Anolis sagrei: one gene and its partner. The protein of the gene in region 2 interacts with the protein of the main gene of each other region in a pairwise test. Links are inferred from orthologs where the notes say so. Each region holds a gene or a part of one and is shown on either strand. Other genes may lie near its edges. The genes, in order: CEBPG and CEBPE.

The links.
Region 1: the proteins of CEBPE (region 2) and CEBPG interact in a two-hybrid assay, tested with the Homo sapiens proteins (2 studies listed by BioGRID and IntAct, with this or other methods). The link is inferred for Anolis sagrei from reciprocal best matches to the Homo sapiens genes CEBPE and CEBPG.

The regions. Positions count from the first base shown.
Region 1 is NC_090028.1:3,816,500-3,825,469, forward strand, and holds the start of CEBPG (CCAAT/enhancer-binding protein gamma), read right to left. Parts: upstream 3,827-8,970; 5' UTR 3,726-3,826; intron 3,406-3,725; exon of another isoform or gene 3,344-3,405; intron 3,336-3,343; exon of another isoform or gene 3,196-3,335; intron 1-3,195. UniProt on the Homo sapiens protein: Transcription factor that binds to the promoter and the enhancer regions of target genes. Binds to the enhancer element PRE-I (positive regulatory element-I) of the IL-4 gene. Binds to the promoter and the enhancer of the immunoglobulin heavy chain.
Region 2 is NC_090026.1:9,166,932-9,176,368, reverse strand, and holds the start of CEBPE (CCAAT/enhancer-binding protein epsilon), read right to left. Parts: upstream 3,724-9,437; 5' UTR 3,371-3,723; coding exon 2,945-3,370; intron 1-2,944. UniProt on the Homo sapiens protein: Transcriptional activator. C/EBP are DNA-binding proteins that recognize two different motifs: the CCAAT homology common to many promoters and the enhanced core homology common to many enhancers.

The DNA of each region.
Region 1 (8,970 bases), on a different chromosome or scaffold from region 2:
TTCCCACAATAAAGCCCAGACTTTGGAGGTCATTTAAATGGTACATAGGGTGCAGCCAGATGAGGCCACTGCTGGGAACTCAAGCTACCTCCATGTTCGGGGGAAGTCCAAAAACATCTGGGGACCCCAGGTTGAGAACCACTGGTCTAGTGGAAGACTCAGTTGGGATAAACAATGAGGTAAATCTTCAATTAGGGATGAGATAAAGTATGTCTCACTCAATAATAATAATAATAATAATAATAATAATAATAATCTTTATTTAATACCCCGCCACCATCTCCCCAATGGGGACTCGGGGCGGCTTACATGAGGCAAGCCCAACAGCATATTACAATAAAATAACACCAAAACACAATAACAACACAGTAAAATACATACAACATATAAGTACAAAAGATGATAAAACAAAATCATACACAATAAAATAACAATGAACGGGCCGCATGTGTAAGATTAAAAACTAAAATACTGAAAATACTAAAATCAGGGTGAGACATAGATGGAGCAGATTGTTTGTGAAGGAGAAACTCATAAAGGAATGGGGTCGTAAAAATAAAAAGGGAAAAAGAAGAGGAGGTAGTAAAACGAGAAAATGTGGTGTAGTGGTTTGAACCTGTGACTGTGGCTCTGTACCCTCTGGGTGACTTTAGGTAAGTTCCACTCTCTCAGCCTCAGAAGAAGAATCAAACTTGCCAAGAACACTCTGTGAGAGGGTTGTCTTAAGGTTGCCCTGTGTCTGAAATGACTCGAAAGCACACAACAAGAACCACCTGAGGGTGTCTGAGGGACCATGAACTTGCACTGTTTTAAAAATCTAAACATTTATTTACACTTAAACATTGCTCTGCACTTATTTTCAACTGTATCTATTTCCATATAGTGTTGCTGATGTTTGATGCTTGATAGCACAAACCTGTAATACACATCATTACAGCCTTTCACAGTTATCAAAAACATTTGCAGAAATCAGTATTTAACGGGGTTGAGAGAAAGAACTTTCAAAAGCTCTGGCAAGATCCACGAATCCCCCTATATATATACACACACACACACACGTATGTATGTATAATAGTTGTTATTGTGCCAATTTTAATTTCTATACCCCAAGGTATTCCAGTTAATACTGCTTGCCAACTCCCTGTCAAAAAGGAAATAGAAGCACAAGCTTGTTTGGAATGAGAATAAACCTGAAACTAAAGGGGAGATTTGGGGCAAACTATGTATAGGTATAAAAGTGCATCTGCACTGTAGAATGAGTGCAGTTTGACATCATTTTAGCTTCCATGGCCTAATGCTATGGAATGCTGGGAATTGTAATTTGGTATGAAGCCCAAATTATTATTATTATTATTATTATTATTGTTGTTGTTGGAAACACAGTGGCATCCAAAATGTCTGTGTATATGTGTTCTGTGTGTGTGTATATGTGTTTATGTGTGTGTATATATGTGTTTATGTGTGTGTATATATGTGTTTGTGTGTGTATATATGTGTTTATGTGTGTGTATATATGTGTTTATGCGTGTATATATATTTGTGTATTTGTGTTTTATATGTGTACATGCATATTGTGTCTATGTGTATGCTTGTCTATAAGCATATTTGTGTGTATGTGTGTATGCATGTATGTATATTTGTGTACATGTGTATGTGTATACGTATATATGTATGTATGCATGTGTATATGTATATATGTGCACATGTGTATATGTATATATATGTGTGTGTATATTTGTGTGTTTGTGCATATGTGTGTACAATGCGTGCATGTGTATATGTATATGAGTGTATGTATATATGGTGCATTTTTTTGGTTTTTAAGTCTGTTCCACTGGGGCTTTGTGTGTGAGTGTGTGTGTTTAGGGGGGATGGACTGTTAGGTGTATTGTGTCCAAATTTCGTGTCAATTCGTCCAGTAGTTTTTGAGTTATGTTAATCCCACAAATGAACATTACATTTTTATTTATACAGATTATTATTAGTATATCATTGTATTGGTATATTATACTAATATTCATTGTATTAATATATATTAATATATATATTAATATTGATACAATAAGTTAATGTAATAAATTAATATAATAATTAACATAATGTATTAGTATAATATAGGAGTATTGTGTCCAAATTTCGTGGTTTCTGAGTTATGTTAATCCCACAAACGAACATTACATTTTTATTTATATAGCTTATTATTAGTATATCACTGTATTAATATATTATATTAATATAATATATTGATACAATAAGTTAATGTAATAAATTAATATAACAATTAATATAATGTATTAGTATAATATAGGAGTATTGTGTCCAAACTTCGTGTCAATTCGTTCAGTGGTTTTTGAGTTATGTTAGTCCCACAAACGAACGTTACATTTTTATTTATATAGATTATTATTATTATATCATTGTATTAATATATTATATTATAATATATTGATACAATAAGTTAATGTAATAAAATAATATAATAATTAATATATATAATTAATAATATAATATAATTAATATATCATATTTATTTCTTTATTTATTTAAAAGTTTTATATACCGGCCTTCTCACCTCTCTTGAGGTACTCAGACCAGTTTCCAACCATAATATCACATACAATCAATAAAACATAATTCATATTACAATAAAACATTAAAACAGAAATTACAATCAATAACTATAATGGCCAGTCGTCACACTAAAATCGTTGTTCATCGTCCTCCATCCATATCTCAGGGTGTTGGCTCACTCGTCGAATGCCTGTCTCCATAGCCAAGTCTTCACCTGTTTCCTAAATGTCAGGATAGAAGGGGCGGTTCTGATCTCCAGTGGGAGAGAGTTCCAGAGTCGAGGGGCCACCACCAAGAAGGCCCTGTCCCTCGTCCCCACCAGACGCGCTTGTGAGGCCGGTGGGACCGAGAGCAGGGCCTCTCCAGACGATCTTAGTAATCTTGATGGTTCATAGGGGAGAATACGTTCGGAGAGGTAAACAGGGCCAGAGTCGTATAATTAAAAATATAGGAATATAATATAGTATAATATAGGAATACAATATTATATAGTATTATATATTATTAAAATTATATATTATTATAATTATATTATTATTATATATTATAGTATTATATATTATTGTAATATATTAATATATAAAATCTTGCTTATATGATGGAGCAAAACCAAAGAAGGAATACCATTTAAGTGACATTCCAGATCCCCCATTCTAAAGCACCCTCAGGCTGTCTTTCCTCCTCTTGTTTTGGCCCTTCTCCTTCCTTCCTTCCTTCCTTGCCCAGCCTGCTGTTTCCTTCAGCGCCATTACCATGACGTCACCCGCATTACCTCTGAAAGTGTCTCCAAGATTGCATCATCTTCCCTTCTGCGCAGGCGCAGACCCGAAGGTGACGCGAGAAAGCAGCTTCCCTCCAGTGCGCACGCGCAAAGGGGGAGGGAGGGGGAGTTGGGTCGCCTATGCGCACGCGCAAAGGCGACCCAACTCCCCCTCCCTCCCCCTTTGCGCGTGCGCAGCGTGAGGACTCCCTTCTCTCGCTGGCCTCGAAACGGGTGTGCGCATGCGCAGAAGGGTTTTTGTTGTTTTCTCTCTCTCTTTCTGCCTTTCAGGAGAACGAGCAGTCATCCCGCTTTCCCCGGGACTTCCGGAGACGGTTCCCCCACCAGGACGGGCCACTCCACCCCTCGGCGGCCTCCTTCGCCCCTTCCTTACCTTTCCCTCCGTAGGAACTGCCGCCGCCGCTTCCTCCCTGCTTTTCCTCGCTCTTTCGCCTGCGCGGTTGCGAAACCGGGCTCCAGCCAATCGGGCTTCGAATTACCTCACGGGGGACGCGATTGACAGCTGCCTCCACCAATGAGGAGCCAGGGCTCCTGGCGCCGGGTCCAATCCGAGGATTCGGACTGGGAGATTGACAGCTCGCGACACCCAATGAATCTCGTCGCTTCGCTATATTGTACCCAATAAGCGAGCGAATTGAGGGGGCGGGCCCAGAGTTGTTTTGTTTACTTAGTCGGCTGAGTTCCTTGCATTTTGTCTCTGCCTTTCCCATCTATTATTATTATTATTAATAATATTAATAGCACAATACTCATGCTTGCATAATTGCACCTACACATTCATTATTAAAATTATAATTATTTTTAGACACTTTATTATTATTATTATTATTATTACATTTAATAACTCAATACTCATGCTTGCATAGTTGCACCTACACATTAATTTATATAATTTTAATTATTTTTAAAACACTTTATTATGAAAATGGCTGGAAGAAACATTAACAACCTCAGATATGCAGATGACACCACTCTGATGGCCGAAAGCGAGGAAGAGCTGAGGAGCCTTCTAATCAAGGTGAAAGAAGAAAGCGCAAAAGCCGGGTTGCAGCTAAACATCAAAAGAACCAAAATTATGGCAACAAGAGTGATTGACAACTGGGAAATAGAGGGAGAAAACGTGGAGGCCGTGACAGGGTTTGTATTTCTAGGCGCAAAGATGAGTGCAGATGCAGACTGTGGCCAGGAAATCAGAAGACGCTTCCTTCTTGGGAGGAGAGCAATGTCCAGTCTCGATACAATAGTAAAGAGCAGAGACATCAGACTGGCCACAAAGATCCATTGCCTAGTCCAAGCCATGGTATTCCCCATAGTCACCTACGGATGTGAGAGCTGGCCCAGAAGGAAGACTGAGCAAAGGAAGAGAGATGCTTTTGATCTGTGGTGCTAGAGGAAATTTCTGAGAGTGGCCTCGAAACGAAAGGAGATGAGAGACCAAGATGAAGTCCTTTGGCCACGTCATGAAAAGACAGGAAAGGTTAGAGAAGACAATGATGCTGGGGAAAATGGAAGGAAAAAGGAAGAGGGGCCATCCAAGAGCAAGGTGGATGGATGGCATCCTTGAAGGGACTGGATTGACCTTGAAGGAGCTAGGGGTGGCGACGGCTGACAGGGAGCTCTGGCGTGGGCTGGTCCTTGAGGTCGTGTCATTGTGTCATTAGCAACCATTATTTTACAATTCTAACAGAGCAAAACAAACACAGAGATTAAAAAGAGAAAGAAAAAAAAGAAAAAAAAACCACACAGATTTTGTAAATTTGGTATTTGGTTAAATGTCCTTTGACCAGTATCTGGCCACTTGGAGTGCCTCTGGGGTTGCCGCAAGAAGGTCCTCCATCGTGCATGTGGCAGGGCTCAGGGTGCATTGCAGCAGGTGGTCAGTGGTTTGTTCTTCTCCGCACTCGCATGCCGAGGATTCCACCCTGTAGCCCCATTTCTGAAGGTTGGCTCTGCATCTCGTGGTGCCAGAGCGCAATCTGTTCAGCGCCTTCCAAGTCGCCCAGTCTTCTGAGTGCCCAGGGGGGAGTCTCTCATCTGGTATCACCCATGAATTGAGGTGCTGGGTTTGGGCCTGCCACTTTTGGACTCTCGCTTGCTGGGGTGTCTCTGTAGATCTAAGAAAACTATGTCTTGATTTAAGTCGTTGACGTGCTGGCTGATACCCAAACAGGGGATGAGCTGGAGATGTCTCTGCCTTGGTCCTTTCACTATTGGCTGCTACTTCCCGGCGGATGTCAGGTGGTGCAATACCGGCTAAGCAGTGTAATTTCTCCAGTGGTGTGGGGCGCAGACACCCCGTGATAATGCGGCATGTCTCATTAAGAGCCACATCCACTGTTTTAGTGTGATGAGATGTGTTCCACACTGGGCATGCATACTCAGCAGCAGAGTAGCATAGCGCAAGGGCAGATGTCTTCACTGTGTCTGGTTGTGATCCCCAGGTTGTGCCAGTCAGCTTTCGTATGATGTTGTTTCTAGCGCCCACTTTTTGTTTGATGTTCAGGCAGTGCTTCTTGTGGGTCAGAGCACGGTCCAAAGTGACTCCCAGGTATTTGGGTGCGCTGCAATGCTCCAGTGGGATTCCTTCCCAGGTAATCCTCAGAGCTCGGGATGCTTGTCTGTTCTTGAGATGAAAGGCACATGTCTGTGTTTTAGATGGATTAGGGATCAGATGGTTTTCCCTGTAATAGGCAGTAAGAGCACCTAGAGCTTTGGAGAGCTTCTGTTCTACCATCTCAAAGCTCCCTGCTTGAGCAGTAATGGCACGATCGTCAGCGTAGATGAAACTCTCTGTCCCTTCTGGCAGTGGCTGGTCATTTGTGTAGATGTTGAACATGGATGGAGCAAGCACGCTCCCCTGAGGCAGGCCGTTCTTCTGTTTCCGCCATCTGCTTCTCTGGCCCTGGAACTCAACAAAACCCAGAAGCAACCAGAAGCAACCAGAGTCCTTGAGGTCACCTAGAGAAGACAATGATGCTGGGGGAAATGAAAGGAAAAAGGAAGAGGGGCCGACCAAAGGCAAGATGTATGGATGGGATCCTTGAAGTGACGGAATTGACTTTGAAGGAGCTGGGGGTGGTGATAGCCGACAGGGAGCTGTGTAGTGGGCTGGTCCATGAGGTCACCTAGAGAAGACAATGATTCTGGGGAAAATTGAAGGAAAAAGGAAGAGGGGCCAACCAAGAGCAAGGTGGATTGATGGCATCCTTGAAGGGACTGGATTGACCTTGAAGGAGAAGGGGGTGGTGACAGCCGACAAGGAGCTCTGGCATGGGCTGGTCCATGAGGTCACGAAGAGTTGGAAACAACTGAACGAATGAACAACAAGAAGTTGTACTTGCACATTAATGAAGATGATAATAATAATAATAAGAAGAAGAAGAAGAAGGTAGGTAGGTAGGTAGATAGATGATAGATAGATGATAGATAGATAGATAGATAGATAGATAGATAGATAGATAGATAGATAGATATTGGGAGCTCACCCCACTCTCTGGATTAGATAGAGAGAGAGAGAGAGAGAGAGATGATAGATAGATAGATGATAGATAGATAGAGTGCAGTGGTTCTCAACCTTCCTAATGCCGTGACCCCTTAATACAGTTCCTCATGTTGCGGAGACCCCCAACCATAACATTCTTTTCGTTGCTTCTTCATAATTGTAATTTTTCTCCTGTTCTGAATCGTAATGTAAATTTATATGTTATGCAGGATGTATTTTCATTCACTGCACTACATTTGGCACAAATACCCAATATGCCCAAATTTGAATACTGGTGGGGTTGGGAGTTGCAGTTGATGGGATTTGTAGTTCACCTGCATTCAAAGAGCATTCTGAGCTCCACCAATGATGGAATTGGACCAAACTTGGCGCACAGAACTCCCATGACCAGTGGAAAATACTGGAAGGGTTTGGTGGGCATTGACCTTGAGTTTTGGAGTTGTAGTTCACCTACATCCAGAGGGCATTGTGGACCCAAACAATGATGGATCTGGATCAAACCTGGCATGGATACTCAATATGCCCAAATGTGAACACTGGTGGCATTTAGGGGAAATAGACCTTGACATTTGGGAGTTGTAGTTGCTGGGATTTATAGTTCCCCTACAATCAAATAGCCTTCTGAACCCCACCAATGAAAGAATTGGGCCAAACTTCCCACACAGAATCCCCATGACCAGCAGAAAATACTGTGTTTTCTAATGGTCTTTGGTGACCCCTCTGGCAACCCCTCGCAACCCCCCCCCCAGGGGTCCTGACCCCCAGGTTGAGAAACACTGATCTATCTGAATTAGACCCAATATTACTCAGTCATATCTCATTTGCTATTCTTTCTATCTCAATTAGCTTCTTTATCAATATAACTCAATCGTACTTACAATGATTTTTTCAGAGCTCCCTGCCTGACCAACAGCACATCTGAAGCTTTCTTTCTCTACACTGAAGGAGGCAGGGGAGATTCCAAAATGGAGATCTCATCCCCTGGAAAAAGGGCGGTCTCTACACCCAAAGAGATACTTTCTAAACCAATAACTGCAGAGGGCCTGCAGGCTGGCTTTGCAGACTCTTATACTGTTTAACTTCCAGGGAGCTGCTGGGTCTGCAGCAACCCTGGGGAAATGCAAAAGAACACTATCCCGTGCAACTAAAAGGTAATGCAAACTATGCTCCTGGAAGACGGAACACTGGTGGAGTTTGGGGAAAATAAACCTTGACATTTGGGAGTTGCTCGGATTTATAGTTCACCTATAAATCGACCCTTCCTGGAGAGTTGATCCCAGATGGTGAAGCTGTGAGATGCCTGCTCGGACCCCTGGCCATTGACCTGTGGGGTCCCGCAAGGCTCTATCTTGTCTCCCATGCTTTTTAACATCTACATGACACCGCTGGGAGAGGTCATCTGGAGTTTTGGAGTTAGGTGCCACCTCTATGCAGATGACACACAACTCTATTACTCATTTCCACCTAATTCCAAGGAGGCCCCTCGGGTGCTGGACGAGTGCCTGGCCGCTGTGTCTATCTAGATGAGGACGAACAAGCTGAAGATCAATCCCGACAAGACAGAGGTCCTCCTGGTCAATTGTAAACTGGATCGGGGTATAGGGTGGCAACCTGTGTTGGAAGGGGTTACACTCCCCCTGAAGTCACAGGTCCGCAGTTTGGGAGTCCTCTTGGATTCATCACTTACGCTTGAGGCTCAGGCGTCGGCGGTGTCCGGGAGGGCTTTTGCACAATTGAGACTCATGCGCCAACTACGACCGTACCTCGCAAAGGCTGATCTGGCCGGGGTGGTCCATGCCTTGGTCACCTCTAGGTTTGATTACTGTAATGCGCTCTACGTGGGGCTGCCCTTGAAAACGGCTCGGAAATTTCAACTTGTCCAACAAGTGGTGGCCAGGATGTTAACTGGTGCTCCTTACAGAGAGAGGTCAACCCTCCTGTTTAAGGAGCTCCATTGGCTGCCGTTTATTTTCCGAGCCCAATTTAAGGTGCAGGTGCTTACCTACAAAGCCCTGAACGGTTTGGGACCCACCTACCTGCGTGACCGCATCTCCGTTTATGAACCCATGCGTTCTCTTCGCTCATCCGGAGAGGCCCTGCTTGCGATTCCACCTGC
Region 2 (9,437 bases):
CTAGTTCAAACCTTTTCATTCTGCTTTCATGCAGGGAAAGCACAATCAAAGCATCATCAACAGATGGCCATTTGGTCATAATAATAATAATAATAACGAGTTGGAAGGGAGCTCTAAAGCCCATTTAGTCCAACCCTCTTTATTCTGCCTTCATGCAGGGAAAGCACAATCAAAACACCCCTGACAGATGGCCATCCAGCCTTAATATTAATGTTAATAATAATAATAATAATAATAATGAGTTGGAAGGGAGCTCTAAAGACCATTTAGTCCAACCCTCTTCATTCTGCCCTCATGTAGGGAAAGCACAGTCAAAACACCCCTGACAGATGGCCATTCAGCCTTAATAATAATAATAATGAGTTGGAAGGGAACTCTAAAGCCCATCTAGTCCAACCCTCTTTATTCTGCCTTCATGCAGGGAAAGCACAGTCAAAACACCCTTGACAGATGGCCATTCAGCCTTAATATTATTATTAATAATAATAAGTTGGAAGGGAGCTTTAAAGGCCATCTAGTCCAACCCTCTTCATTCTGCCTTCATGCAGGGAAAGCACAGTCAAAACATCCCTGACAGATGGCCATCCAGCCTTAATATTAATATGAATAATAATGATAATGATAATAATAATAATAATAATAATAATAATAGAATTGGAAGGGAGCTCTAAAGACCATCTAGTCCAACCCTCTTCATTCTTACTTCATACAGGGAAAGCACAGTCAAAGCACTCCTGGCAGATGGTCATCCAACCATAATATTAACAACAACAACAACAACAACAACAACAACAACAACAATAGTAGAGTTGAAAGGGATCTCTAAAGGCCATTTAGTCAACTCCTGGAGCCATATTTTGGTGAACTGTAACTAAGGGCCCTCCTTCACAGCCATATAACCCAGAATATCAATGCAAAAAAATCCCACAATATCTGCTTTGAACTGGGTTATTTCTGCTTTATCCCTACAACTGGGTCCACGCTGCCATATATTCCAGTTCAAAGCAGATAATGTGGGATTTTATTCATCTGGGTGGAAGGGGCCTAAGATGGAGCCCTTGCAACGGAATAACCACATATTTTTCCCATCTGCTCCAGACTCCGTTTCCTTCCCTTTCTCCTGTCTTAGATTATAGGAGACAAGTCCCTTGGGGAAGGGTTTTTTTTATACCCTGGGGAATGTTGTGTGTATAAACAGTTCCCGAGGGAAATCCACTCCTAAAAGAGTTATCATGAGGAAAAGGTGCCTTCACTGAAGCTTTCTCGGAAATTCTTGTCTCCACAATAAGGCAATTTTTTTCAAAATTATTACAGGGATAGAAAGTGAAGAGAAATCTTCTGAACAGGGGCACAGACAGCCAAACAAACACTAGAGAGGTGTTAACTCTTCTCTATGCAATCCAAAGCATACGTGAGTCCCGCCCTGAGTCCCTTCAGAGAGAGAGGGTGGGTTATAAATGAAGTTGTTATTATTATTATTATTATTATTATTACTATTATTAGAAACACAACAAGATGAGTCCATAGCAGACACTCTGCTGGCTGTGGAATTGGATCATACGTCGGACATTTCCCAAGTGTCTAGGACTGTGTGATGTATCGGCGAATAATACGTGCAGATCCCAGTGAGGTGGACTTTTGCAGCTGGCAGATGGTTGTTGTTGTTGTTGTTATTATTATAAACACAATAAGATTAGTACTCGGCAAGCAAGATCAGTATGCTGGTTGTTGTATTGGATCACCCGTCAGACACTACTCAAGTGTCTAGGACTATGTGATGTATCGGCAAATAATGTGTGCAGATCCCAGTAGGGTGGCCTTTTGCAGCTGACAAATGGTAATTTTGTCAGCGCCGATTGTGTTTAAGTGCAGGCCAAGGTCTTTAGGCACTGCACCCAGTGTGCTGATCACGACTGGGACTACCTTTACTGGCTTGTGCCAAAGTCTTTGCAGTTGGATCTTTAAATCCTCATAACATGTCAGCTCCTATTATTATTATTATTATTATTATTATTATTATTATTAAAAGGTAAAGGTTGTTCCCTGATATTAAGTCCAGTCATGTCTGACTCTGAGGTGTGGTGCTCATCTCCATTTCTAAGCCGAAGAGCCGGTGTTGTCCATAGACAGCTCCAAGGTCATGTGGCCGGCATGACTGCATGGAGCGCTGTTATTATCATTATTATTATTATTATTATTATTATTATTATTGTGTGTGTGTATGTGTTTGTGTGTATGGAGCCCCCCCAGTGGCCCAGTGGGTTAAACCACTGAGCTGCTTAACTTGCTGACCAAAAGGTCAGCAGTTAAAATCCGGGGAGTGGGGTGAGCTCCTGCTGTTAGCCCCAGCTTCTGCCAACCTAGCAGTTCAAAAACATGCAAAGGTGAGTAGGTTAATAGGTACCACTTCGGCGGGAAGGTAACGGCACTCCATGCAGTCATGGTGGCCAAATGATCTTGAAGATGTCTACGGACAATGCCGGCTCTTCGACTTAGAAATGGAGAAGAGCACTACCCAGAGTTGGACACGACTAGACGTAATGTCAGGGAAAACCTTTACCTTTGAGATATATATATATATATAATCATAGAATCATAGAGTTAGAAGAGACCTCATGGGCCATCCAGTCCAACCCCCTTCCAAGAAGCAGGAATATTGCAATCTATCTATCTATCTATCTATCTGGAGTTACACTTTTAAAATGTACCTATTCCGACTTCCATACAAATTCAACTTAAGAATAAACTTACAGAACCTATCTTGCTCGTAACTTGGGACCTGCGTGTATAAAGAAGAGCAAACAATGCCTAAGGAACATCAAGCAGGAAGGACAGTGCAGACCCAACCATAAATATGGATCAGGACTTCATGGTCTGTGATGTGTTCTAGACTAGCAGAGCCTCCTAGGGTAAATGGTGGCTGAAGACCATTTGATCTCCTTACCTTGAGCACTCTCAGAGCTTGTCCGGCACGCCCGCCTGGCTGTCCAAGGGCCACTTGGGCGCAGTGGGCACCTGGGAAGTGCATGGCATTGTATGGGTGGCGTCCGCCCACCCGTCCAGCTTCGCTTCCTCGCGGCTCCTCCTTGACAGCGACGGAACGTGGGTCCAAGGGTCCCAGGCCCTTGCGCTCCCCTCCATAAGAGAGGAAGGGGTACGGCTCCATGGGGAAGTAGTTGGGAAATGGGGTGCCTTTGGGGCCTCTGTGCTGAGCCCCTTGGAGCAATTCTGAGAGCAGCTGTTCATCTCCGATGTATGACGCCAACTCAGACTCACAGATTGGGCCCAGGTCGGTGCCAGCAGGCCTTGCAGGAGGTACTTCCAGGGCTTGGTAGTGCCGCTCGCTCTCAAAATATCCTCCTTGGGACATGGCCCTGAGCTGCAATTCCCAGTTCCCTGGTGTTTTCCTTCTCTCCTTGGACAACCACTGGCACCAGCGTACTTCTTTAGTGCCGGTGTATATTTTAACTCTCCTCTCCCAGGTTCTGTTTTGAGTCCTCTGTTTCTTCTTTTGGAGCACTTCAAGTTTGCCTAATTCTGTTCTTCGACTTGGTTTTGATTCTGATTTGTTCTCCTTTGTTGTTCTTGGTTGTTTGTTCTCCCAGATGAAGGATTTCACTCGTCTTTTCTTGTTAAAATTTTCTGTCCCTTTCCGCCCTTTTCTGCTCACTTTCTACCTTTCCTGCTTTCTCCTCTGTCTCTGTCTGAGCCTTGTTCCCTCTTTCTCCTCATCTTCTTCCTTCCCTCCTTTTACCTCCCTCCCTCCCCCTTCCTTCCTCTTTCTGAGGTGCATCTTGGCTCCTGCTTTTGGCAATTTCGCCTGGTTCACCCAGGAAATGTCTTCATTCCTATTTCCACGCAGAACCCCAGTATGTGCCCTTGTGACAAACATATCGCTCGGCATAAACCATACCTTCTGTTCAACCGTAATTCAACATGCCTAAACCAAGCGTGAGAACATGCAGCTCTCAAGATCTTGTTGGCCTACAGCTCCAAGCCGCCATAGTCAAAGTTGAGAAATTATGGGCATTAAAAATCATAAATAATAGTAGTAGTAGTAGTAGTAGTAGTAGTAATAATAAATTTTATTTCTACCCCGCCACCATCTCCCCGATGGGGACTTGGAGCGGCTTACATGGGGCCAAGCCCGGACAACATAATACAGCAATAAAATCAAAACATATACAACAAACAACAACAACATCATCAAAGTAACATTAAAAAGGAGAAAAATCATAAAATAAACATTTGAATAAACACAATCACGGTAATGATGACAATGGGCGGGCCATATATTCAGGATAAAAAAAACCAGTTTAATGAGATAAAATAGGAGCAGGACGTTTATATGGAACTCATAAAACACACAGGGTTATGAGGCTGAACATTCTATTTGGAGGGCACGAACTCCATTGGCAGAAAACGTTGAGGGGTGCAAAATATCATGCTGTGCACCTACTCACCAAAGGTGCAGCGGAAAAAACAGGTTTTGAGGTTCTTTTTAAACATTTCTAGTGAAGGGGCTTTCCTGATCTCCCCAGGTAAGGAGTTCCAAAGTCGGGGGCCACAGAAGAGAAAGCTCTCTCCCTTGTGCCCACAAGATGAGCTTGTGAGATTGGTAGAGGTGAAAGGAGGACCTCTTCCGAGGAACGAAGGGCCCGGGTTGGTACGTGAAGAGAGATACGGTCACTAGATGACTACAAGGATCAACTAGTTCAGACCTCTGCCATGCAGGAATATATCAAGTGTTCCTGAAAGATGCCCATCCTGTTGTAGCATGAAAGGAATCAGTGAGTGTGTGTGTTGACTGTAAAATAAGATGATTGGTCGGGCTACGTCCGGAGAGATGGCTGAGCCTGGGACTTTTGGATACTGTTACATTTTTCAGACTTGAGTTATACAGGTGCTTGCAGAGAAGCAGAAAAAAGCAGAGAGAGAGTTTGGAGTGTGCTCTTGCTTCATGTGCTGCTGAAGGACATCATCCACATGGACAAAGAAATACCATTTTAAATCTCTCATAAAAGGACATTATGTGAGTTGATGTAACTGACCACATGATTGTACATATGTTGTTCTGAACTACGAAGAGTAAACTACTTGTTCTTTATTGTTCATCTGTGTAGCATATTTTCTTTCTCTAACAAGGTGATGTATGTGCTGATCAAACACAAACTACACATGATTTTCATTTCGTCACACATCCAACCTCTGTTTAAAGATCTCCAAAGATGGAGATCCCACCACTCTCCAGCACAAGCAGCTTTTATAGAAAAGGTTTGGGTGAAATTTCTTTTATTGTAATTGGAAACCATTGGTTTGTGTTCTGGTCTCTTGAAGAGCAGGAATAAACTTTCTCCGTCTTCTGCATACCATCCTATAAAGATGCCTATTGTATCCCTTCCTGTTCTTCAACCTAAAAGTGCCCAGCTCCCAAAGTTGTTCCTCAGAAAGCTTGGCTTCCACATCTTTGATCATATTGCTCACCCTCCTCTAGATCCTATTTCCTGCAATTGTTAGAGAGGATGCTAAAAAGCACCTATGAAATGTCTTTTTCTCAAGAGCTGGCTCTAAAATATTTTGCCTGCGGAAGATCAGACAACTATCCCTACCCACACTGGTGTATCTAGCTCAAGTCTAGTTATTTTGCTCTCAAGAACAAAAACAAATATACCCTACAAATATTTCTCCTTCTCTCTGATGGTAAACATTACAATAAACTTTGATGCCTTGGAAGGGCATTTTCTGAAGGGATCTTTTTTCCTTCTTCTCCCTGACGATAAACATTACAATAAGTGTTGGTGCCTTGAAAGGGTGTTACCTGAAGGTAAAGGTTTTTTGAAATTGTACCTTCCAGAATCCCTTGGATATTTAGGAAATTTTAGCCTAGAACAGTAATTTTTCAGAGCTGTGCCGTTCCAGCTTTGCTTCCTTAATCTTTGGGCCAAATAGGAACCAGAGTGAGGCTGATGGAATTAAAAAATGCACCAAGTGATTGCATTGTCTTTGGGCACCAGCAGAGGATGCTCTGAAGCCAAACATGTTACTGCTGCATAGATTATAAGCAAGCAAGAATCAGTGATATTTGGGGAAGAGAAAAGAAGAGCACTGTTTGGTGTGTTCTTTCTGATCTGATAGAGGAAAGGCTTCTTCTCTCAGTAAAGGATAATGAGTGTCTCCTTACTCTTGATTTATGAATTGAGACATAGACTCAGTAGTGCTTTCCAGCTCAGTGAGTGGTTAATCCACTTTGATTTTGAGTCTGGACTTTAAAGGAGCTATCCAGAGTGCTGAACCTAGTTGGACCATAGGGCTCAGCACCTTGGGTAGGTCAGCCATCATCAATATGCATATCCACTCAGATCTTGTCATTTTACTAAAATGCAGACTGAAGGCCAATAGACAGCCTGTGTCAGGAGGATCTGCCATTCTGATTTTTAACTGTGTTTATTACATTAATGGAGCCCCCAGTGGCGCAGTGGATTAAAGCACTGAGCTGCTGAGCTTGTTGACCGAAAGTCGCAGGTTTGAATCCGGGGAAGCGGGGTAAGCTTCCGTTGTCAGCCCCAGCTTCTGCCAACCTAGCAGTTCGAAAACACGCAAATGTGAGTAGATCAATAGGTACCGCTCTAGTGGGAAGGTAACAGCGCTCCATGCAGTCATGCTGGCCATATGACCATGGAGGTGTCAATAATAATAATAATAATAATAATAATAATAATAATCTTTATTTATACCCCGCTACCATCTCCCCAAGGGACTTGGTGCGGCTTACATGAGGCCGAGCCTGCAATACAAACAATACAAGCAATACAAGCAATAACAGGTACAATACAAAGCAATTAAAAAATAAATAAATCATAATAAATAAATCTACGGGCAACGCTGGCTCTTCGGCTTAGGAATGGAGATGAGCACCACACCCCAGAGTCGGACACGACTGGACTTCATGACAGGGGAAAACCTTTATCTTTACCTATTACATTCATGTCTGCCACTGAGAACTGGGAAGACCTGGCCATTGAGTGCTCCAGCTGGAGGTCAGCTGTGACCAGCAGTGCTGCAGAATTTGAAGAGGCATGAATGGAGGGCGAAAGAGAGAAACATGCCAAGAGGAAAGCACATCAAGGCAACCCCGACCGGAACCGCCTTCCACCTGGAAACCAATGCCCTCACTGCGGGAGAAGATGCAGATCAAGAATAAGGCTCCAAAGTCACCTACGGACCCACCGCCAGTACACTGATCTTGGAAGACAATCCTACTCAGACAACGAGGGATCGCCTAAGTAAGTAACTAAGTCATGTCTGCACCTTTTTCCAGAAATCTCAAAGATGGTACTTCTCCCCTCAGTCTCACAAAAAGCCTGGCAGGTTAAGTTTAGGGTGATCAGTGGACACTGGCCCAAGAGGGCATAGGATTAAGATGGGATTTGAACCTGGTTCTTTTCGACTCAGCACACAATCTAACCCCTCTTTTCAGCTGAAGGCCCGATTCTATTTCAGATCTCCACAATTCCAGTGGCGGGTCAAGCAAAAGGAGAGAAGCATATTTTAGATTAATGATTTTCCAGCAAAGAATTTTCAGCTGAGAAAGAAGCCCGAATAGATGCTGGGAATCGACCAAACGTTGATATCCCATGAAAGGAATGTGGCCACTGGGGAACCACTGAGGGTCACTCTCAACCCCAGGCTTTGAGGTTTCCTACACTTGCACTACCCAGTTTCACAAAGACTGGTCTCTCTATTTTTAGGGCTTACAATCTTGTAGGTATAGATATGGATCTTGGAGGTCTAAATTCTTCCTTTGAGGGCCAAGAACCCTTACAAACCAGCCAGCACAATGTTTGAAGTCCTCCCACAATGATTTCCTAATGTACCATTTGTGGTTCTTAGTTTTGTGGTGGCTATTAAAAACAACATCGGACATTTGCTCCATCTTCTGCCCCTTCTAATACTTTTGTGAGAATCTGAAAGTTTTGGAGTGGTCTTTGGTAAAACTGTAATTTTAATTATATAATGGTTTCGTTATAGTTGTCACCTCAGGAAGATATCTGGTTATTCTGAATAGTGAAATCTCAAATATGGGAGAATTTCAAACTAAATGAAAAAGGAACTCAAAGGTAAATGCGATTGAGTGTAAAGTGAGCTCAAGCCAAAAAAAATCTACTGATGGAACTAACTAGTTTGAAAATAACATGTTATAATCCCACACCCCTCCGACACATCAGCACTTTTAACCCTGTACCCTACTTCGGCCAACTCAGTTTTTAATAATGTCTTGTCGTGTTGCTATTGTCATTGTTTTTGCTTGACTGTTTTATTTGCTATGTATTGTATTGCTGTATTGTTTTAGGCTTCGGCCTGCTGTAAGCCGCATCGAATCCTTCGGGAGATGCTAGTGGGGTACAAATAAAGGATTCCACAGACCACTGAGATCCCTACGAATTACAGACCTGGACCAACTTGGCACACAGAACTCCAGTGACTAATAGAAAATACTGGAGGGGATTGGGAAGAATTGACAGTGATTTATGGGAGATGTAATTCACCTACATCCAGAGAACACCGTGAAACCAACCTCAACCAATGATGGACCTGGATCAAACTTGCACAGTGAGAGCCAGGACATGCAGGAAGCCTACCGATCGGCCCAGCCCCTTCTGAGCTCAGCAGGGGCAATGGTTAAGCTGCAAAGGTTCCCTGGATGGCCTGGCCATGCGTGGAGCCTTGTGCTCGACCCTCACCCCCGCCGAGCTTGGAAGGGGCAAGGGTCGAGCGCAAGGCTCCCTGCATGGCCACACTTTTTATTATTTTCATTTTACATTAACCCAGAATCCATAATGAGAAAAAAATTGTGTGTAATGTTTGAATATGGTTAGTGGATATGGATTGCTGAACCTCAGAAACTTATATGACTCTCATTTCATTTCTTTTCTCGCAGTTGCCATGTGGTGTGCATTTTGAGGTGTGTGCACTTTGTGGTACTATAGCTTATCCTGATGGGAGTGGCTTCTGCCTGCAGAACCAGTCTGACAAACCTTCCTCCTTCACTTCTGCTGTGCTTTTTACTCTGAAGTGTTTTTGAATTCTGCCCCCAAAGCTTTGGAACCATGTGGTGCATTATTTATATTTAATCTGCAAGTGAAAAAGATAAATTCCGTGTACTCTATGATCAGAAAAAAACTGAAAATAAGACAACCTGTGCCATAATGGCTGTACTGTATCTAGCAGTCTGAAGACTAGCTGCACTTGAAATGTTTTTGGCTGTTTTTATTTCCATCCTACCTCACCAGTAGCCAGAGTGGCTACTGCTGAAGGAAACAACAGGTGTGTTTATAAAATCTAGAGGGATATCTGTTCATGTCCTACTATCATTTTCTTACATTTTTAAAGGTCAAGAGCAAGCTGGTCCATTCACATTATGTAAATATTCACATCCC